Linked DNA regions of Macaca mulatta. The main gene of each other region encodes a partner of the protein of the gene in region 3 in a complex. Links are inferred from orthologs where the notes say so. Each region holds a gene or a part of one and is shown on either strand. Other genes may lie near its edges.

The links. The genes of interacting proteins can lie anywhere in the genome.
Region 1: the proteins of PARD3 (region 3) and CDH5 are in contact, whole or in part, in an NMR structure (PDB 2KOH), measured with the Mus musculus proteins. The link is inferred for Macaca mulatta from reciprocal best matches to the Homo sapiens genes PARD3 and CDH5. Residues at the interface, in NP_296369.2 of Mus musculus: Ala599, Gly600, Leu601, Gly602, Val603, Ser604, Val605, Lys606, Gly607, Arg609, Lys611, Lys622, Ile625, Asn655, Gln656, Met659, Arg663, Met666; in NP_033998.2 of Mus musculus: Tyr774, Gly775, Asp777, Gln779, Glu780, Glu781, Leu782, Ile783, Ile784.
Region 2: PARD3 (region 3) and PRKCZ share a complex: the UniProt entries of both Homo sapiens proteins name them as parts of the par polarity complex. The link is inferred for Macaca mulatta from reciprocal best matches to the Homo sapiens genes PARD3 and PRKCZ.

Annotation. Positions count from the first base shown.
Region 1 is NC_133425.1:61,889,187-61,896,983, reverse strand, and holds the start of CDH5 (cadherin-5), read right to left. Parts: upstream 4,329-7,797; 5' UTR 4,261-4,328; intron 692-4,260; exon of another isoform or gene 1-691. UniProt on the Homo sapiens protein: Cadherins are calcium-dependent cell adhesion proteins. They preferentially interact with themselves in a homophilic manner in connecting cells; cadherins may thus contribute to the sorting of heterogeneous cell types.
Region 2 is NC_133406.1:238,641,304-238,648,854, forward strand, and holds the start of PRKCZ (protein kinase C zeta type), read right to left. Parts: upstream 4,329-7,551; 5' UTR 3,570-4,328; coding exon 3,499-3,569; intron 3,417-3,498; exon of another isoform or gene 3,187-3,416; intron 1-3,186. UniProt on the Homo sapiens protein: Calcium- and diacylglycerol-independent serine/threonine-protein kinase that functions in phosphatidylinositol 3-kinase (PI3K) pathway and mitogen-activated protein (MAP) kinase cascade, and is involved in NF-kappa-B activation, mitogenic signaling, cell proliferation, cell polarity, inflammatory response and maintenance of long-term potentiation (LTP).
Region 3 is NC_133414.1:35,742,193-35,749,258, forward strand, and holds part of PARD3 (partitioning defective 3 homolog), read right to left. Parts: intron 5,725-7,066; coding exon 5,536-5,724; intron 4,739-5,535; coding exon 4,568-4,738; intron 1-4,567. UniProt on the Homo sapiens protein: Adapter protein involved in asymmetrical cell division and cell polarization processes. Seems to play a central role in the formation of epithelial tight junctions. Targets the phosphatase PTEN to cell junctions.

The DNA of each region.
Region 1 (7,797 bases), on a different chromosome or scaffold from region 3:
CCTGGGATAGGCTCCTGTGGGTCCCAGACCTGCTCCCCTCCCATTAGGTTCTGCCAATAGCCTCCTCGCTCCCTGCTGGAGGATGTCTAACTCCTCAGCCAGCCCTCAAGGCCTAGCATGATTGTCCCCTGCCCACCCTGCCAGCTCTCCTCTCTTCCGCTTCCCTGTCCCTTCCAGCCTCGAGGAGAGCTAGAAGTTTCTGAAGTGCACAGTGCCCTTCCTCTCAGCAGCAGGCTTTTTGCCCAGGCTGTTCCTTCTGCCTGGAATGCCCTTCTTTGCTGTCTCCTGGGTTAGCGCTTTACTTCTTCTCAAGCCCCAGACTGCCTACTCCATGAGGTCTTCTGATTGCCACCTGCCACCAGCACAGCCTCTGCCTCCTGGCCTATCTCTGCCCAGGCAGGTTCTGGGCCTGAGAGTTCACTTCATGCCATACCTGGGTGCATGAACTCAACGCCCCAGACCTGGACGTGCTGCCTGTCAGCCTGGTGCCAGCTCCAGTTCTGGTCTTGCCACCCACTCCCTCCCCACTCACAGGATTTAGAAACAAATCTGTGTATTTTCAGACAACACGTAGGGTGGTCAGAGTAGGTACCATTGTTGGTATAACTCAAAGAAGCTCCTCCTTGCTCCCAGATAGCTCCTCTGATGGCCCATGGGATGGGCTGCCATGGGACTGCCCAAAAGACCACCGATAGGGTTTTGATCCTTTAGGGACAACAAAATTATCCTTCTTAAGAGTCCCTGGCTGGGCGTGGTGGCTCACACCTGTAAATCCCAGCACTTTGGGAGGCCAAGGCCAGTGGATCACCTGAGGTCAGGAGTTCAAAACCAGCCTGGCCAACATGGTGAAACACCATCTCTACTAAAAATACAAAATTAGCTGGGCATGGTAGCACATGCCTGTAATCCTAGCTACTTGGGAGATTGAAGCAGGAGAATCGCTTGAATCTGGGAGGCAGAGGTTGCAGTGAGCCGAGATCGCGCGATTGCACTCCAGCCTGGACAACAGGAGCAGAACTCTGTCTCAAAAAAAAAAAAAAAAAAAAAAAAAAAAAAAAAGAGTCCCCAGTGAGTATGCAAACACCCCTGAGCAGGGCACCTCTTAAGACAGTGCTGGCAGAACAGAACTCAGCTTGCCACATGCCCCTTTCCACACCTATGGCAGACATCACAAATCAATCACCCAAAGACTGTATTGAGGATCCTCATAGACTGTGTTGAGGATTCAGGGGCTGAGTTCAAGTTCATTCCCACTGGATGAAGGTAGAGGGTACCAGTTGGCCAGACCTATTTTGTGATGTGAAACAAATTTGTGCTGGAATCTCTGGGCTCCGGGTCATCTAGTCTATCCCCTTGCCTTCTAAAGGGACAGCTCCAAACTTCCCATGCTAAGGAGGCTTCCAGCCTCCTTTGGGCTTCCTGACTTTGTCTGGGACTATGAGGGCAGTGTGGGGAACAGAATGAGGCCCTTGCACCTGCCTGTTTGAACCTGCCCAACTGCTCGGGAGCTGTGTGACCTTGGGTTCATCTCTTGCTTGCTGAGCCTCAGCTTCCTTATCTGTAATGGAGGCAACAGTAGCCGCCTCCCTGGGGAGGACGATTAAATGAGATCATGAGTGTAAAGCCTGGCACACAGTAGGTGCCCAGTAAGGGTGTGGGTGTCTTGACTCCTATCTACCCGCCCTCTCCAGCCTGGTGGGTGTGGTTTTGACTGGCCGACTTACACTTGACCTCATTTCCTGGCTCTACTCTGGGCCCACCTCCTACTCTTTCTGTTCCTCTGCAGAAGGAAATCTCATTCACCACCCGCCCGGCCTGCCCCCGGGTCCCACTTCCTCGTCCTTCCAGTATCTGGACCTGCCAGGATCTGACTGTTTTGCTGTGGTCCAAGGCAGACAATCTGGAAGTCCCTGAATTAGTTTAGGGAGCATCCCCTACTCTCAAGAGATGGGAAGACTGAGGCCCAGGCTGCAGAGGGGCTGCCCAAGGCCTCCTAGCACCTGGGATTCCCACTCTTCCTCCAGCAAGCCCTTCATGATTTACCCACTTAACACCAGCTCGAACCTGGATCAGGACAGACTTTTTAGTATCTCCTCAGCCAGAGGTGAAGCTCCTGAGGGCAGAACCTGCCTCCTAGAACATTCCTTCCCCTGGTGTCACTGGGCTCCTGGCTTGTCCCTGTGCCTGCCTCTGTGGCCTGGAGTGCTCTGCTTTTCCCCTCTCTGAGCTTCACTGTGGAGTGTGGCATGGATTGTGGGTCAGAAGGGACCGCACTCACACCCTGCTTCTACCTTGTGTTGGTTGTGTGACCTTGGCCTGGCTGCACAGCTTCCCTCAGCCTTGGTGGTCCCATCTGTCAAATGGGAATTCTAGTTGCTTCAGCGTGACTGAGGGGGTGCAGAGAGAGGATGCAGGGAACAGGCATGGGTCCATATGGGCAAAAAGGCCCAAGATTTTTCCTGGGACGGTGTCCGCTGTGTCCCCTGGGTGTCCCCGAGTCAGCAGTGAATCATCCAACTTTGCAGAAAATGTGTGGCCCCCTCTGGCTTCCTGCCTTCATGTCCGGCCCTTGTTTAGCAACACAATAGCTCAGGCTGAGGCTGCAGGCAGGCAGCTTAACCCCTTCCAAGCCAGTATACACCTCCCCTACCCCTCATCACCGTAAGCTGAAATTGGTAGGGCCGCTCAGGGACTCAGCAGCTCTTGGGCCCCTTGGAGGATACTCGCTGCCCTCCAGGGCAGGCAGAGGAGAGTCCCAGGCTCCCCACCACCTCAGGATGGACCAGGGCTCCTGGCCCGGGCTCCAGTGGCCTGTGGTGAAAGAGCCTTCCAGGTACACCCTCAACTCCTCAGAGCTGCCTCCCTGGGAATGGCCTTCCTCTCTGGTCAGAATCCTATCTGCCCATCACACATGAGAAACGTCCACGCTGGGGAGGGAGCCTGGCATGGAGCAGGTGCCCAGAGGTGCTCGCAATGTCCTCTCACTTGCACCCCCTTCCTGGTACCTGCTGGGCACCTGAGGACCCCTCCCTGATGGGGTGTTACCATACCTCAAGGGTCAAAACCTTTATGACGTTCACAGTCAGGATCGGCTCTGGGCTAGCAGGAAAATCCAGCCACTATTCCTTAAAGATCCCATGTTATGTGCCATTCCCAGCACCAGGGATTTAGATCACCTCACTTAATTGACTAAGGAAACACTGTTTCTGCATTTCACAGACGAGGCACTTGAGATCTGGGGAAAGAGCCTGGGCTTTGGAGTATGAGATCCTGGTTCAAATCCCCACACCGGCTCATATGTTTCCAAAGCTCAGTTGCTTTCACTGAAATATAAAGAAATAATATATCTACCTTGTGGAGTTGTTAATGGTAAAATAATGAACTCCACATCATCGCTTGTTCCCCACTGTGGTTTGGAAACTCTGGGTAACCTTCCCAAGGTCACCCCAGAGCAAATGGCAGAGCTGGGATCTGTACCCAGGGCAGTTGTCTCCAGGCCAGGCTCTTGGCCCAGACCTCCTGCTTCCAGGGCACTTCCTGAGCTGTGAGGGCCTTGGGGCTCTTGGGCCCTAGCCTTTGAAAGGGTGCCTGGGGGAGGAATGGTGGGCCACTGTCCAGACTACAGCTCCCTAGACACATAGCGGGCCCCGATGGTGTTTGGGCAGGGAAAGGCAGGACCGCAGGTGCCCAGAGCCAGTGCTCAGCTTGCCTATCCTGAAATGGGAGCGCTGGCTTGATAGAGAGGGGCCGAGGCTCTGAGCTCCCCTTTCAGGGCCCCTCCCCAGATCCCAGCATAGAGCTTTAGTGGCGTATGGGTGGGGGGCTGAGGAGGGTGGTGTCAGGACTTCGTAAATCCTCTCCAGTAAGGGTAAGGGCACGGAGGGGAGGCCAAGGCCTGGGTGCCAGTCCTCTGCCCCGGCATGCTGGGCAACTGGGGCAGAATCCTGCCTTCTCTGAGCCTGGCACGGAGGAAGGCCAGTGGGACTTTTTGAGTTGGAGAGTGCAGTTGTGGGAGAGCCGAGCCCTTGCCCTTCCCCCTTCAGCCCCAAGATGCCCATTTGTGCCCTTGGCACCACCTCTGGGTGCACCTTCCCCGGCCCTGCTCTGAGCCTCAAGGAGGCCCAGCATGCCCTCGAGGAGCCTCTCTGTCCTGGGAGCGGGACGATGCCCATTCTACAGATGGGGAAGCTGAGGACCCTCCCACCTCGGGCGCAGGGTGGCGGGTCTGGGGTGGAGGGGAGTGTGGGAGCCCCCACTCACCGTGCCTGTGGGCTGAGGGATGTTTCTGTTCCGTTGGACTGCCTGTCCGTCCAGGGCTGAGCGTGAGTGGAGCTCTGTGGAGCCCGTCAGCCAACCGTCTCTGGAGGGGAGCCACACCCCGCTGGCGAGGGAGGTCTGGCTGCCTCCCCTTCAGGTTTTCCAGCTGGCCCTGGCCCACTTCCCCCCGGGATGGTTTCCTGTTATTGTTCCTTTGTGAGGGCTGGGCTGGCTGCAGATAGGCAGGTCCCCCGGTGGGCGGCCGCCTCAGCCCCGGATGGCTGTCTCCACAGAGGGCTGGCCCTGGACCCCGCCTGGGGCACCCCACTTCAACCCCAATGCCCGGCCTCAGCTCTGGGACTCTGAGCCCAGCACCTGCCAAGAGCCTGGCTGTGGGGACCCGTGGGTGCAGCATCACATTTAACCCGCCTTGGGATGCTGCAGGCAGGTGTCATCACCCCCATTTTATAGCCTGGGAAGCTGAGGCTCAGTGGGTTTAAGGTGCTTGTCCACCCAGCTGGGGTATAACAGAGCCAAAAATCTAGTTGGGGTCAGCCTAGCCTCAGAATTTGATTTTCTGTGGTGACCCCATGATGTCTTTGTGGGAATGGACTTTAAAGGTGATAGGGAGGCTTCAGGAGATGGGAAAGGACAGCAGCTCTTGGCTCTGGAGGACCAGGTTGGCTTCTCCCGGTCAGGGTGGGCGTGGACTCCAGCTCTAAGGCACCAGCCTTGGTCTGTAGGGGACATTTTCATTTAGGGATATTGGGTGGAGTCAAGTGACCCAGCTCTGCTTCTGATGTGACCTTGGGCCAGTCGTGTCATCCTGGAGCCACAGTTTCCTCATCTGTAAAATGGGGATAATCACAGCCTCATCCTCACAAGGCTTTTGACATAAACGAGAGTCAAAGAGGGGCGTGGAAGACAGTGACGCTGAGGCTGGATCAGAGCCCAGCAGAACCAAGAGGCTGGGGAAAGGGAGGGGCCGAGATTCTGCTGACCAGGAGAGACATAGGAGGAGCTTCTCAAAACTACAGAGGACTGGGCTCGACCCAGATCAACTGATTTGGAATCTCCCAGGGCAGACCCTGGGAATCTGTCCTTTGAAGACTTGCTTCTGTTTTTCCATGGGTGAATGTTTGGGAAGTCCCAAACTTGTTTTATTATATAACTGGGCAAGCAGAGACCCTGAGAAAGACAGGACCCAGGGCTGTTTAGTAAATCAGAGCAGGAGATGGGGAGTGAGATGGAAGGATATTTTTGGAGGAGGAGGGGATAGTGATTCCTCTATCTCAGGCAGGTTGAGTTTGAGATGCTCATTAGATACCCAGGTAGAGGTGTCAGGTTGGGGCGGGAGACGGGTGAGTCCAGCCTGGAGTCGAGGTTTGGAACCCATGAGCTTATGGCTGGCATCTGAGGCCATGGGCATGGATGAGCTTGGCGGGAGGGAGGCCTCGGACCCTCTGACATTTGAGGATCCATTAGAAGAGGGTCCCACGATGAAGGAGGAATGCCAGGAGAGGGCAGAGGAGGAGGGCAGGGGAGTGGTCAGTGGGTCAGCCTGGGGAGCATGAGGGCTGAGACTTCACTTTGGATTTGGAAGATGAGGTCGTCAATGACTGTGACCAGAACAGGTTAAACAGGAAAAGGTAGACGAGACAGATTGGAGGAGCTAGAGAAAGGGGGATGGGGACGTGGAGTCATGTGTGACTGTAGCTCCTTCCCCAACTCTTACAGTGAATGGGAGCAGAGAAGTGGGAGGGTTTTTTCTTTTATTTTTTTAAACTATGGCAGCACGCTCATATCCCCAGGGAGGATCCAGCAGACGGGAAGACAGATGATGCTGGAGCATGAGGAGCGACCTGCTGGAAGGAGTACAGTCCTTGGGGCGGGATTCTGAGTGGGATCCAGCACATTCAATGGCCGATTGTGGAATGAACAAACAACAGCTCAGCACTTCCTTCTCCAACGGGATTAACTCTGCTTTCTCCTGCCCAGAGGGTGGGCTGGCCGCAGAGGAGCCAGGACAGTGCTCTGTCTGCTGTGTACCAGTCCACATCACCCTCACCCCCGCCCGTGTTGACCGCCTGTCCTCATGGTCTACATGCCCATGGGGACACACTGGCCTGCGCATTGCGTCCTGCTGGGTCTCAGACTTGGGGCTGGTGGCAGATGGGGATAGGGCCTGTCCTGGCACCATCTGCCAATTCCCTTTGTACTCCCAGTCCATGACGAAGTTGACTCTGCCCTGAAAACTACTATTCCTGTGGTCCATAAACAAAGGAATGGTGAGCCAGGCATGAGCTGTGGGCCCCAGGGGTGGGCATGGGGGTCACCATAGCAGAGGTAGTTGAGACTATAGGAGGGAGGCTGGTGCCTCCTTGGTCCCCCTGAGGATTTCATGCTTGATTTCTGGCACTGCCCAGCCTCTGCTCCAACCTCTCTGGAGGCAAAGGAGGTAACAGGAGGGCACAAGGCCAGGAAGTGACATTGGGAGCAAGGAAGGCGGCGGTGGGCCGGCAGGAAATGGGATGGTCTGTGAGACCAGATTAGCAGCAGAGGAGGAAGCAACAGTGGAGGCAGTGGGGGTGGGACGACAAGGCCCGGGACGACCACCCGGCCTCTGCCAGGATAAAGGCTGACCCGGCAGGGAGCGCTGCTTGGGGAAGTACAGGTGTGAGGGTTGCAGACCCAGGTTTGGATCCTAGCATGACCCGTTGCTGCCTGTATGACCTGGGCAGCTGACTTGCCTCTCTGAGCCTCTTTCCTCACCTGGGAAATGAGTTACCTGTTCAGACTTTGCAGGCTGTCTGGAAGATGAAACGAGACAATGAAAATAAATGACAGGACCAGCAAGCCTTACCGAGTGGCTGTTTCTCAAAGCGTGGTCTTCAAGTCATCCATCCTGGGAGAGGGGGATTGAATATGCAGATTCCTTGGACCCCACTCCAGGCTGATGGGGTCAGAATGGCTGGTGATAGAATCCCAGGACTTATGTGTTTGTAGCTCCCCAGGCAACATGTTTGTGTTGTTACATTTGAGGACCACAGCCTTTGTGTGTGCTGCTAATGCACTAAGATCTGCTTGGGACTCCTCATTCAAACCTCAGGACAACCCTGGGCGGGGGGCGGTACTACTGTTAGGCCCATTATATAGATGGGAAAACAGAGCCTGGGAGGGAAAAGCTTTCTGAGATCAGAGTTTGTCAGTGGTGGGGTGGAAATTCCAAGTCACGCTTCTGTTTCCAGAGCCCAGTTCCTTACCCAGGGAGCTTTCCCACCCTGCTGGAGTTGAGTCGGGACACAGCAGGGGTTCCCCAAATGAGAATTCCCTTTCCTTCCTCCCCACAGCGTGAGACACCCAGGGATGGGGCAGGAAAACAATGCCATCAGCTTCGGCAGGCGCGGTCGTGGTGAAGCCTTTCAGCCTCATGCCTCAGGACTTTGCCCATGCTGTTCCACCTTGTGTGTTTCCTTCTCTTTCCTTCCTCACCTGCGCACAGAGCCCTGTCAAAGCCACTCAGATCTCATTCTCTCTGTG
Region 2 (7,551 bases), on a different chromosome or scaffold from region 3:
ACAGAGACACAGGCTCTGCTCTTTGCAGACACTGCTGGCTCCCCACAAGGTTATCTGAATTCGTCAGACAAGTTTCGAGAAACAAAGTTCTCGTCCCAGACAAGAACTCCAGTGCAAACAGAACACAGGATCTGCCCACAGCCACAGCCCCAGCATAGCAGCCCAGGGCCCACCTGCCCCACAGGCCTCACCCAGCCCACCGTGGGCCGCAGCCACCCACCCCTTCCTGCTGGAACTGGCCACCCAGCACCTGCCCCCAGTGCCCGAGCACCCCACAGGAACCAACCTGGCTGGTCTTCACCACAGCCCGCAGCATCACCGCAGATTAGGAAAGTGAGGAATGGAGGGGTCACACACCCAATACCCGGGGTTCGCCCCAAGCTGACACCCATGCCTGCTGCCTGACCTGGCGTCCAACAGTCCGACCACCAGGAACTCCAGAGTGGGAGTCAGCCATCCCTTCACCTTTGACCCCTTCCTGCCCATGCCCCCGCCCCCACACAGTCCTGTCCCCAGGTGGAAGCCAGTTTCCTGCCAATCTGGAGGCCAGGTGGGTGGCTCCAGTCAAACCCCAGGACTTGGGAAGTGTCGGGCCACCACTTCCAACCCTATCCCAATCCTGAATCAAACAGCTGCTCTGTGCCCCTCGGCAGGGGTGTCCAGGACCCAGCACCCAGTAGCCAGCTGGGCAGCCAGGGAGAGACTCCTGTGTCCCTGCGGGGCCCAGCACCAAGCCCTGAGCTACCGCCCGCCCTGGTCTCTGAGCTTTGCACACAGAACCTCCCTGAACACAAAAGTTGTCTGAGCTGGGCCAGGCGAGGTGGCTCACGCCTTTAATCCCAGTGCTTTGGGAGGCCGAGGCGGGCAAATTACGAGGTCAGGAGTTCAAGACCAGCCTGGCCAACAAAGTGAAACCCCATCTCTACTGAAACTACAAAAGATTAGCTGGGTGTGGTAGCAGGCGTCTATAGTCCTAGCTACTCGGGAGGCTGAGGTAGGAGAATCACTTGAACCTGGGAGGTGAAGGATGCAGTGAGCTAAGACCACACCACTGCAGCCTGGGTAACAGAGCAAGACACTGTCTCAAAAAAAAAAAAAAAAAAAAAAAAAAAAAAGTCTGAGCTGGAAAAGGGAAGAGCCAGCACCAGTGTTTGCGACACCAGAAGAATGGGCGTCTGAGACTCGGTCTGGGAGCCTGGCCCAGGTCACCTGGGACTCCCTGAAAACACAGGTGTCTGGGGACCCCTCAGGCCCACAGGGAGCCGGGGGGGGGGAGGCGAGGATTGGATCTCAAGTGTGCTCAGAGGGCCCTGGGGGGACAGGCAAGGATGATGGGGTGGCCATGCCCCATGGGGGTGACTGAAGAGCTCCTCCTTTTTCTAAAGACTTGTCTTCCACGTGTCCACACTCAGCTACCTCCACGAACAGCAGCGTCTCACCCCAGGGACGGAGTTTCTAGGGCTTCCAATAACCCAGTACTCATCCTGGCAACCACTTTCTGGAACTGCGTCATTGCCCTAAGGCCTGAGTGTCCCACCCCACAGCCAGTCCCCTCAGAGAGGCACCGGGTGCCACGAGGGACGAGGAGCCAGGCTGGGGAGAAGGGCAGTTCACACTCTCCAGTAGAGAGGAGGAGGACCTGGGAGGGGACAGAGGAGAGAAGGAATGGTAGGAACAGGGAAGACCCAGAGGGGAGACAGGCCCTGGAACAGGGAGGAAGGTGAAGGAAGAGGTGTGGCAGGGAAGGGAGAGAGGGGAGAGCGGGAAGAGGAGGGAAAACAACAGGGAAGGAGGGAGGAAGAGGAAGGGGTGGGGAGAGAGGGGAGACAGTCCCGGAAGGGAGGGAAGAGGAAGGGGTGGGAGCCTGGTCTCTCCAGCCCAGGAAACCAGAGTCACCGGGTGGAATTACACCCACCCCACCACCAAAGTGCTCCCAGGGGCCAAAGCAGGACAGAGAGAGGACGGGGCGGCCCAGAACTCCAGGGCACTGCCCCTGAGCCTTGGTCCCGGAAATTGGGCACCGGAATGCAGGAGGGTCTGGGCCCCTGCAGCCCTGCCGGTGTGGACCTCCCTCTTGCAGGACACCCCTGACCTCCACACCATCACCTGTTGCCTAGTTTATTGGCTCCAGGCTGGGAAGGAGACAGCAAGCCCAGGTCCTTGGATAAGTCCAATAGCCAGGACCTCAATCACACCAAGTTTTAACCGGCTGACTTCCAGGTCAAAAGACATGGCTGCCCTACCCCTTTGGGTGGGGTTGGATGGTCAGTTCCTCAGAATTCCCTTTCTTCTGGTTTCTGGCACCAAACCCGACCCCACTGCACCCCGAGGGTTCCAGGTGCTTGCCAGAGGGGGGCTGCAGAGGCCTCAACCTTCCCAAAGAAGAGACAACAAACCCGGGGCCAAGCAGCCCCAGATGGCTGACCCGAGACCCCAAGACAAGGTTCGCAAGGAGCTGAACCCGCTCAGACTCGCAGGGCACCACAGAGACCCCTGGGGTACTGTCCTGACAGGACATGGCCCAGGGAAAATGTCACCCACGTAACCCTGCCAGCCGTCCCTGCCTCTGGGGCTCAGGTTGCCACCGCGGGAGCTGAGGCGCACCGGGGCAGGAGCAGCTTTTCAAGATCCCAAGGACCACCCAGTGCAAGCCCGGAGCCCGCAGTCCCCTCCCCTCCCTCTCCGCAGCAGCGGCCACCTTCACCGGAGCGGAGGTCCGAGTTCGGGGCTCCTGGGGACGCAGGCGGGTGGAAGAACAAACCCACGGGCCCTCCCTTCCCCACCACCCACACTTCGGGGGGCAGCGACCCCTCCGCTGTGCCTGTGAGCCCGGCCACCTGGTGCAGCCCCCGCCACCCCCACCAGCGCTGCCCCGGACCCCTCGGCTCCGGCCCCTGACCGCGCCCCCTCCCACAGCCAGACAGAGGCTTCCAGGGGGGCGGGTGCGACGCAAGCCCCGGGGCCAGTCTCGGCCGCGCCGTGGCCTCCAGAAACCCCTGTCCCCACCCGACCACCCGGAGCCCTGCCGGGGGCTGCAGTGGAGCCACCGCGCCCGCGCCCCGGGTCTCCGGACTTTGCCTAAACCGAGACCCCCGGCCGGGTAAACGGGGAGAACATTTAGGAAACGCTGATTTTAAGAAACCCGCCAGGAGTTTTTACAACTTGATGAAAACTTTCAATCCTTACAGGTTTGCGGCCGGAACGTCCCCGCCCAACTTTCCAGCGAAAACGTCAACCACAGTGACCGGGCCGAGGAGCGCGCGGCGCGGGGCCGACCCCAGGGAAACCCGGTCCCGGGGAAGGAGCCGGCGCTGCCCACCAGGTGTCCGCGGGTGACGCTCTCGGGCGGGGACCGAGGACCTCCCGCGACAGCCCCGGGCCCGCAGCGACCTCGCCGCCCTCTCCCTCCCTCCCTCCAGCGCAGGAGCCCCGACGGCTGTGCCCTCCCCGCCCTCCCCGCCTCACCCGCCGCCGCTCCCCGCCCTCCCAGCCGCTCACCCTCCGTAATGCGCCTTGAGGCGGACGCGGCCGCCGCTCCCGTCCATCTTGGGGCTGGTCCTGCTGGGCATGGCGCGCTCCGCCGGCCGCCGTCAGCGCTGCGCCCCGGGAGCTCCGGCCATGGAGCGGGGCGGTGGCGCCAGGTGGGGCGGCGGCGGAACGCGGAAGGCACCGCTCAGGACCGACGGCTCCGGCCCGACCCGGCCAACTCCGCGGAACTCCACGGAACTCCCACGGCGCGCGGGGCGGCAGCTGGGGGCGCGCAGGGCGGGACCGTCCGACGGGGGCGGGGGCGGGGGGCGGGGGGCGGGGGGGGCGGTGTCCGAACATGGCGGACCGAGGTGGAGCCGGCGGCCAATCCGCGGGGCGGGCGGTCCCGGGGCGGGCGGTGGCACCTGCGGCCAATGAGGGCGAGGCGGGGCCACCACCTGGGCCAATCCTCGAGGGACCCCCGGCAGCGGCCCAATGGCGAGGCGCGGGCGGGGCTACCTGTCGGGCGGGGCGCGACGCACCTGCGCCAATGGGACCGCGCGCGGCGCGGCTCTGCCCGGCAACCGGAGGGGCCCCGGCCTGCGGCACCGAGCTGCGGACCCGGGAACTCGCTGGAAACGCAAGTTCTCGGCCCTCGCCCAGACCCTCCGAATCGAAACTCCTGCGGCGCGCGCCCTGCCAGCCCGAGGACTCCGCCGTCCAGGGGTCTCCTGACATCTCCCACTTGCAGGACTGAAGCTGCAAGGAGCGGAGAACCCGGCCAGGGTCAGGGACGGGAGGGTCCAGACTCGGGTTCTCTGGGCCCCAGCCCCCGCTTCGCCCCCATCGAATCCAAGGTCCCCTGTAGGGAAGGGCCGTCCACACTCGTGAGTGCAACCGCTCACTCCGCCCAGGTCAAGGACGCGGCATTGCCCCGAGTCGCCCATGACCTTCATTTCTGAAGCCACAGCCTCTTGGGCCTTACTTGGGGGCGGGGGGGTTGATCTGGACAATCGCCCTCCAGGCCATTCCACCGCTGCCCAGCTCCCTGCCTCCTGGGCTCCTCCCCTGAAAATGCGGTCGAGTTTTCCCTGATCAGCCCATCCCTTGTTGTCTGTATCCACTGAAGCCCAGACCTGCTGCCTGCAAGACCTCACCCAAGCACCAGGTGGACACCCAGACCCAGCTCCTGACCTGGACCCCTCTCCCCTGAGAGTGGACCTGCTCAGGCCACGCCCTCACACCCCTCACCCAGACACAGCCACCAGGACTTCAACCACGTGCTTTCATCACGCAGGTGGGGTGCCTGGCGCCTCCTTGATGCCAGGCCTTGGGGAGACCTGTGGCCACAGAACTCATGTTCTCCCTAGAGGTGGACAGCGTGCCCCTCTCCTATGCAGAAGCTGTCGTTCTTTCTTCTTAAACACCGTTTGCACCCTCCCTCCACCCACTGACCCATCTCTGCCTCTCTCTACAGCAAAGCTTCTGCCAAGCCGCCCTGCTCCCCCTCTACCTCCCCTGCCACCACCCACTTCCACATTTTAAATACAAGGGTCGGTTCTCAGACGTTTTCTTTTCTTTTTTTTTCTCTTTTATTTGAGACGGAGTTTTGCTCTTGTTGCCCAGGCTGAGTGCAATGGCATGATGTCGTCTCACTGCAACCTCCGCCTCTCGGGCTCAAGCGATTCTTCTGCCTCAGTCTCCCAAGTAGCTGGGATTACAGACGTCCACCACCACCCCAGCTAATTTTTGTATTTTTAGTAGAGACGGGGTTTCTCTATATTGGCCAGGCTGGTCTCCAACTCCTGACCTCAGGTGATCCACCTGCCTCGGCCTCCCAAAGTGCTGGCATTATAGGCATGAGCCACCGCGCCTGGCCTCAGACGTTTTCTTGGCCTTTAGCATCAGAGCCCTCCTGGGAAGGCTCACACATCCCCCGCCCCCGGTTCCAGCTCCCCAAATCTCCCATCCTTTGCCCTCCTGGTCTGCAGCTTTTAAAAGTGTGGAGCCCTGGCCTCAGCCTTTGGCCCACTTCGAATCCCCAGCTCAGATGGTCCCCCCGAGCTCCCAAACAAGGTTCACCCAGCCCCAGGCATCCTCTTAATGAGCCTCTCAGCTGACCTCTTCCCCAACTCGGTGGTGCCCACTCCATCTTTCTGGGTCATCAAAGTCCCCCAGTGGTTCCCATCGCTCCCAGAGGGAAAGCCAGCTCCGCTGCCCCCGCCTCCGGGCCTCCTGGCTGCCCCGGCCTCTGCCTTTGCATGGTCACTCCCTCTTCCGGGAGCACCGTCCTACAGAGATCTGCTGGACTGGCACCCACATTCCCTGGAGTCTCTAGCATACTTAATGCCCGTTTCAGCAATCTACTCCTCACCCCCATCTCCATGGGGCGACCCCCTCTGTATCCCTCACACAGGCACAAAGCCCCATGCCCATCTGCTGGGTGTGAAGGGGGACAGAGAGTAGAGGGTGAGGGGGCAGCCTGGCAGTGATTCCCAGATTCCCAGTGATGAGTGGGAACCTGTGTCTGCAGCAGCTCCAGAGCCAGGCACCCGTCGGCCCAGCTCCCCCACGCTGGGCCCCATGGCCAGGGCTGTGGCCTCATCTGGAGTCCAGCCTGGCAACATGGCCTGGGCACTTCCTGATGGGCAGGAAAGAGCAGGGTTTTGCCTTAGTGGGGCGGTGCCTGGAAGGGGCCACTGGACACCTGCAGGACTTCCTGGCTGGTGTTCTGATCCAAGGAGGCAGCAAGGCCTGGTCCTGGTCCCAGCGCCCCTGCTGGGACAGGCCCTTGGCGCTGGCCTCCCCGGGGAGATCCGTGCTGCCAGGCGGGAGCCTCCGTCCTGGAAGCCAGTTGCAGGGTCGTGGCAGTGCCCCAGTGCCTGGGAGATCCATGCTGCCAGGCAGGAGCCTCCATCCTGAAAGCCAGTCCCAGGGTCACGGCAGTACCCCAGTCCCAGCGAGGGAAGGTGGGGGGTGGGGCTTTATTATCTGTGGGGTTGGGAGGGAGAGGGCGGCCTCAGTGGACAGTCCACCCCAGTGTCGGACTTTGTTCAGCCCTGATGCCGGTGGAGGGGGTGGGGGCAGATGCAGGTCCCAAAAGGCTCCAGCAGAGGGCTGCGGGCACAGGGGCTGCCCAAAACGTCCCGAAAACCTCCCCCCGTACCTGCTCTGGCCTCCCCTCGGGAGGCAGAGGCCTCCACTAATGAGATCTGCAAAACAAAGGCCTGACCCGCCCAGGCCCTGGGACCCGCCTCTGGGCAGATGGGGCAGGTCACAGGGAGGTTCCCAGGTCCTCTGCCCTGAGCCTGCACCCCTGAGAGTTCCCTGAGGGCAGAGGGCGCTTCCTGAGGCACGGATAGACTCGCTGACTGGCGGTGGTGTCACTGTGTTGCCCGGCGACAGATAGAGGGTGTTTGCTCTGGAATCTGCCAACGACTCCCATCCAGATCCTGGCCGAGGGCTGGGCCCTGTTAGACCAGGTCCCCACAGCCTCTCCAGGCACCTGGCACACGGGGAAGGAGTGAGTGACTTGGGTAAGGACCCCTCGAGAATGCTGGAGCCAGGCAGCCTCCTAAGACTGTGGGTGGGGACAGAGTCATTGCCCGCTGAGCTCGGCACACCGAGGAGGCACAGCCCTGGAATCTTCCAAGGACTTGCCCTGGGGCCTCCGGGGCAGGTGGGGTGTGGAGGTGACCCTTGGAGTGGGCGGGGCAGGCTCTGAGAAAGGCTGTTGGGTGGCCAAAGGCCAGGCTTTCCACCTCGCCGGTTTCTGTAGCTCCCAAATTTTTCTTAAAGTCCTCATATACTTTCATAATCATAAACACCTATTATTTTTTAAATAAAAAAAATAAAACGGGTTATAAAAGTCACACTGGCTTTTTAGAAAACTGGAGCAACACAGAAAGGTGGTGTAGGGAGAGGTGAAGCCTCTTCCCAAAACGCCAGCTGAGCAGCGAGAGCCCCGGCGGTGAAGCAGATAGCCTTCCCTCTCCCCGTGCCTGGGACCGCAGGTGGAGGTGCTGGGTGACCGCCGGGGCATGGGGTAGGGAGCTGACTGGCAGAGGGCAGTGTGGGCACGGG
Region 3 (7,066 bases):
ATAGTGTGACAGCTGCTGGGTGGAGGGGAGTACATGGGGCTATGAAAATACATTGGAAGAGAAAATGGAAAATGAAAGACTGTGTAAGCCTTTGCTAGGATGAGGGGCAGATGGACGCAAGTGGAAGACCTAGAGGTGTGAAAGAGCATCCCATGTCTGAGAAATTACCAGAAACACTGAGTAGCTGGAGCAGAGGTGCTGCAGGGGCTGTAGGGCACCGATGACAATCAGGCATGTCCCAGTGGACCCCACAATGGAGACTGGTTGATCCTGGAGACGTGGAAAGCTCCCAAAGGGGTTTCACCAGGGACTGACATGATCAATGTGTTTTGTAGAAAAATTTGCCTGACTGCAGTGCAGAGAATGGAATGAGGGAGAAAGCCTGATTGCAGAGAAACCCCTCAGGGAGCTGCAGCAATGAGCCTGGTGAGAGGATGAGGTCTGAACTCAGGCAGTGGCAGAGGGGAGAGACAGGAGCAGCTGAGGGAAGAGAGATTTTAGGCCAGGCGCAGTGGCTCACAGACGTAATTTCAGCACTTCGGGAAGCTGAGGCCAAAGGATTACTTGAGCCCAGGAGTTGAAAATCATCCTGGGCAACATAGTGAGATCCCATCTTTAAAGAAAAAATTAGTTGAGTGCGGTGGTGCATGCCTGTGGTCCCAGCTACTAGGGAGACAGGTGGCCTCATTGCTGGAGCATGGGAAGTCGAGGCTACAGTGAGCTGAGACTGCACCACTGCACTCTAGCCTAGGCAATAGAGCGAGACAGTGAGACTCTGTCTCCAAAAAAGAAAAGAGGGAAATTCTAGAGGTAGAGGCAACAGGCAACAGGCATATTGACAGCATTGAGAGGGTCATTTGGGTGACCCCAGATCTCTGCCTTCTACAACAGAAAGAATGTGATCCCTTGTGAATTAGGTGCCCATAAGACAGAGCAGGAAATATTTCCCTAGGCAGGTGGACAGTGGGATCTGGTGCCAGAGTGGAGTTGTGAGCTGGAAAGAGGATGATGGTATTCATCCTAACAAGTGGTTTCAGAGGACCATGGAGTGGAGATCAGCTAGGGAGTATGAGCAGAGTTAAAAACAAAGAGACCCGGAAGGGCGCAGTGACTCACGCCTGTAATCCCAGCACTTTGGGAGGCTGAGGTGGGCAGATCACGAGGTCGCGAGTTTGAGACCAGCCTGACCAACATGGTGAAACCCCATTTCTACTAAAAACACAAAAAAATTAGCTGGGTATGGCGCATGACTGTAATCCCACCTGCTCAGGAGGCTGAAGCTGGAGAATCACTTGAACCCGGGAGGCAGAGGTTGTAGTGAGCCAAGATCGCGCCACTGCACTCCAGCCTGGGCGACAGAGCGAGACTCTGTCTCAAAAAAAAAAAAAAAAAAAAAAAAAACAGACAACAGACCCAGAGGAACTCTGAGAGACAGGAACAATGAAAGAACAGACAGAAAAGAGGAAACTTTAGAGAAGACCCCGAGTATGGTAGCAGAAAACTAGAGACAGTAGATAGGAGACACTTTGAGAATGAAATAGTGCCTGCATATTCCTGAAAGGCCAAGCAAAATAGGCTAAGAAATAGCTCCCGGAGAATCTCTCCAATGTGTCTTGTCAGGACTAATGTTAGGGAAATACAGGGCTTTAACACAGTAACTGGTGAAGGGAGCTGACAAATAAATTCAAAGAAAACATATTGGACCAGGTGAGGTGGCTCATGCCTGAAATCTCGGCACTTTGGCAGGCTGAGGCCAGGAGTTGGAGAACAGACTGGACAACATAGCAAGACCCTGTCTCTACAAAAGTGAAAAATAAAGAAAACATATTAATACATAGCACTTCCATGTATAAGAGAAAGAAAAATGTGACAAAGAACAAAAGATTTTCTTTTACACATTCTTACCTTCCCTAACTTGAAATTAAATATGCAAACCTTGGATTTAAAGATGAGATAGCAAAATACAGTTTTCTGATTGGCAAAGACTGGACTATACGGCTGATTAAAAGACCTAGAAAGAAAACTCAGCACATTATTCTGGCTTGAGATTTGTTCAGGACAGCATGATGCCCTATGCTTATATCAATATTTACTGTAAAATAATTTACACATACCCTCCCAGTGTGCAAAGGAGAAGGTTTTCCAAAGGTAATACATAAGTACAACAGCAGAAAAATCATGTCTTATGCCTTATGGGAAGCCGAATTGAGATCTTCTGTCTTCATGTAATTCTTTAGTTAAACCCTATCAGTACAAAAGGCTTCTTGCTAGTATTACAAAGATAGCACAGTACTCATAAGATTTTTTTTTATATAATTGCTTTATAAGCTTATGCTGTCCTAAGAAATAGTAATAACCAGCAATGTATGAAAATGATACCAAAAGGAATATTGAATATTAAAGTCTATTACTGTCTATTGCAGCTGTTTCCTTACTTAAATCATATTCATTCACACAAATTAATATGGAGAAGTGAATAAGACACAGAGATATTTCAGGGGGATTCCAATTTCATGTCTCTTACAGGACAAGAGAGAATAAAATCAGTGCTTTTATCAAAACATTTTCAGGCTGGTACAGGTTTACTTTGTCACTGTTAGGGGGGAACAACAGGGATAACCTGAATCAGATAAAAGTAGGACACTGATATTCAGTCCATTTCTGCATTTTAAGTCCTCCTACAGCATTCAATGTTTTCTGTGAAGGAAAACGTTGAGAAGGTGTTAAAAATTTTAGTTGGTCTCTAAAAGACGAAGGTGATATGTCGTCCAGTAGAATGCATGCCATCTGTCTTATTCATTGCTATGTCCCCAGGATCTAACACATTTTCTGATATACATAAGATGCTCAATAAATATCTATGGAATGAAAACTGTCCTGTGGAATGGGAAAGTATTCAGGTGGCCAAAAGAAAATAGAGTGATATGTTTTGTAAACTTAAGTTGAGACGTTTTCATATAGTGCTTTGTGGGACTTAAGTTAAAGGATCAGCTAATGATTTTGCAATGAGTAAAAACTATTATTCCATTAGTCCAGGAGGGAGGGAAGAGAGGAAAATATCAGTCCAGTATCCTACTGTGAGGGATTAGCTTTTATATTTATCTCACACAAATGAATGTTTTTATGTCCCACTCTTCTCCATTCTGAGATTTTTTAGTTAAGGTTATGTTGTTCTCTTGATATGGAAATTAATTTGTTGATTACTGTTAACTCATTCTACATTTGGCAAATACAAATAACAAAATAATTCAGTGGTCAGTGATCTTTCAGAATACGTTACCTCTATATTGACTACCAGCTGAGCTCAAGAGTATATTTTCTTTGTAAAATATGCTTGTATCATAGGTTCAGATGAGTGGACACTGCAACCTGAAAAGTTTGCTTTATATGTTTAGTAAACAGAAGTTTAAAAATTAAGAAAAACACTTAAAAAATTTAGGTATAATTTTCAGTTTGTATTATTTGTTAATCATTTTATCTTAGTTGATCTTAAAATGTGGGAATCTGAACACTGATTAAGAAAAACTTCACATTTTCAACAGCTCATTTTGCACATGGGCTAGTCTGACCTATTTTCTACAGATGGCACATAATTTATAATGGATCCATGAAATTTAGTTTTTTTCAAGCTCCAATATTATCAAGTCTACATATAATTTATTTTTAACTTTCAAATGTCCTATTATACAACAAATATGTTTTTCCATATTTGGGAAAATAGATGATCCTGTCCTTCAAAAGAGGATGCTCTGTGTTCTCCTCGCTCCTAATTCCAAACTGCAACATACATTTAGAACAAGCAGAGTATAATGCAATACAGATTACTGAAAAAGGAGGCATTCAAAGAGAACAGACTCAATCCCATAGAGAAAGAGAAAATGGGGACTGAAGAAAGAGAGGGAGGTATACGCTATTGATAATCTCACAAGAAAACACCATCATCTAAGAAAGTCAGACTATGGGCCATGTGCTATGGTGCATGCCTGTAATCCCAGGACTTTGGCAGACTGAGGCAGGAGGATCAATTGAGCCCAAAAGATGGAGGTGCATTGAGCTGTGACCACAACACTGAACTGCAGCGTGGTCAACACAGTGAGATCCTGTCTTTAAAAAAAAAAAAGAAAGGATGGGAGAAAGAAAGACTGTTCCCTACTAGGGACTTTGTAAGAGGCATCCCATTTTAGATAAACAAATGAATAAGCAACTGTTTCTCTGCATGATTCACCTCCCAGGTATAACTCTGCCAAATAGAAGAGAAACTGTTGGCTCTGAGAAGGAAGATGTGACCCTGATTTCAAGAAAAAATTCAGCTAAAAGGAATTAAGATCCCAGTGTTTCCTGCTGAGTTGGCAATAGAAGTATTAATATCCACTTAGGAATATGTTGATCACAAGAATTAAGAACACAAATCACAATCCACCTACAAAATAACAAAACCACAACATGCAAAGATAATTTATGGTCTTTTGAGGTAAGGTCCTGGAACCTAACACCCTTTGTCCAAAATTAGGACAGAAATGTAGTTTTATTACAATCTCAGATGCTAGCACTTTTTTGCAATTTTTACCTCACTGCACTTGCTTATTCTCCTTGCAACAATAAGCTGGATCATTCCTCGTTTATTGCCTTCAGTAGACATAGACCTTCTTAGGGTTTCCATGGCATCTTGGTTTGTCTTGCCCAACAGGGATTCTCCATTTACTGCTATCAGTTGATCATTCACCCGAAGCCTTCCATCCTGGGAAGAAAACAGGTAAAAATAAGTGCTATTAAATAGACTGCTATAAAAGAAGTAGCTTTTCCTTTAGTTAATAAATAAAATAAAAAACAAAGCCAAAAAAAAAAAAAAAGTGGAGAGCTTTAATCCTAATGGATTATGCCCAATTGAACACTGGCATAATAACATCTAAGCAGCTATTGTAGCCTGTGTCTATTTCAATCATTTATACATTTGTAAATCAAGTCATTATCATAATCTGTTTACCAAAATAGCATACTAATTCAAAGGACACAAAGTGATTACTTTCTTGTTTCCAGAAACACCCATAGAGGTTATTTAGAAACCCAGACATGTAAAAGCTCAAGGCTATTAGACAGTTGCAGAGAACTGTCCCCTTAACAAATGGCCAGGAAATTTTCTCTAGGCTGAGAAATAGAGTAAGTGACCCACAAACAAGGGAGGGGAGGGGAAAGATTAATGTCTACTCTACGCCCATTCTGTGTTAGGACCTATGCCAAGTCTTTGCATAGATTAACTTCATTTAACTAGCATGTCTATGGGTTGTATGTTCTGTGAGAGAAAAAATGAAGAGTTGAAGTTATGGACTCCATCCCCACGTGACACATCACTGAGACATCTCCTAGTTGTTTGATTGTGAATGTCGGTACCATGAAGAAATGAGAAAACTCCTGTTAACTGCGTATGTTTTCAAAATAGGAACAGGGTTGAAATTAAAAGTTTCAATAGGAATATGTTTTCAAAATAGGAACAATGTTGAAATTAAAAGGCATACGCATGGTAAAGTTGACACTCACTTTAGATGCTGCTCCTCCATTAATAATGGACTTGACAAAGATTCCCAAATCTGCGTGGTTCTCTTTTGACCGGTTACCTTTGACACTGACACCAAGGCCGGCAGATCCCGAATCATTAAGTGGGACTTCAAACGTCAGAAATTCTCTCGTGCCATCAGGTGTGAGAACAATATCCTCATCTTCTGCTTTCTAATAGGGAACAAAATTGCACAGCACATTATATTCCAATGTTTCTTTCTCAAAGTTATTTTTAAAGACTGCTAATGAGCAGTTCCTTAATCATAAGAGGCAAAATATTTCCACCAAGTTTCCATAGCAAGATCCATGAAAACAGTACATCTGCACCCACTCCAGAAGATTTCTGGAACCAGCTGTTAATATTTGTATGTAGCAATTATTCAATATTGAACCAAACCTAAACCAGATTTGAGAAAGTTAGGGGGAAAATGTAGTGGAAGGACTAAAGACTAGGAGAGTTCTAGAGTTCGGGATTTTTTTGGTCTCATTATATACTCTAAACGACAAGAAAAACAGTAACAACAGGAGTAAAAATAAATAAATATAATTCATTTGTCTCCCTTTTTATAAGGAAATTCTGAAGTTATCAATACATTTAATGTTCACTAATGGTGTTTATTCACAAAAAAATACCAAATCCTGATCATATAAAATCAGCAGAAAACGGTATCTGGGTTCAGACAGCCTCTAACTAATTGCAACGTCAACATCTGTGAGACCAAGTAGAGATATACAACATCACAGAAAACTTTTCCACAACATTGTAGCATACATAATAGAGCTGGTAAATATTATTCAGGTAATCTTGTTTAATTAGTTATATATCAGATTTAATTTCATAGTCACCAAGTACAGAAGACAAGGAAGACTTTTAAAATAAAAAACATTTAGGATATACGAATTCTTGTTCACCTCCCTTAAAACAGAGGAAGAAATGAAAGCTTAATGTATAACTGAATAAACTGCATTAAGATGACAGTCTATCATTAAGAAAGGCTACACTCCTGAAGAGGAAGCACTCAGCCTTCTGAGGTCCTCCTCCTCAGCAATCCCACTCATGGCCAAGATTTCCACCATCTCTATACTGGTCATGTCCAAATCAGTAAGGCCAGGATGCTTGTTTAAGCACAAATTCTTGCTCCAACCACATAACAGACATGTGGCACAGGCTCTTCAAGTAAAAACTGAATGGTACATCTAGTTCTAAAACCTATTTCTCCTCCTCTTTTCCCACTTTTGAAATATTTATCCAGCAACTGTTTAATCACTCAAGTTTGACTTATCAAATTATAATTAAAGAATAAGAAACATAATGGTACACAGATATGTAGTAATATATACTTTAAACAGATAGTGCTTTTACAGAATGTTCAATAACATGAAAAAAGTAGGTGACTGCATCCTACCAAATTTTTGAAATGTCCTAATAAGAATAAAAATCAACCCAAGGAATTTGGAATTCAAGAAAATTTGGAATGCAAGGAATTTGGGGCATAAACATGCAATCTCAGAT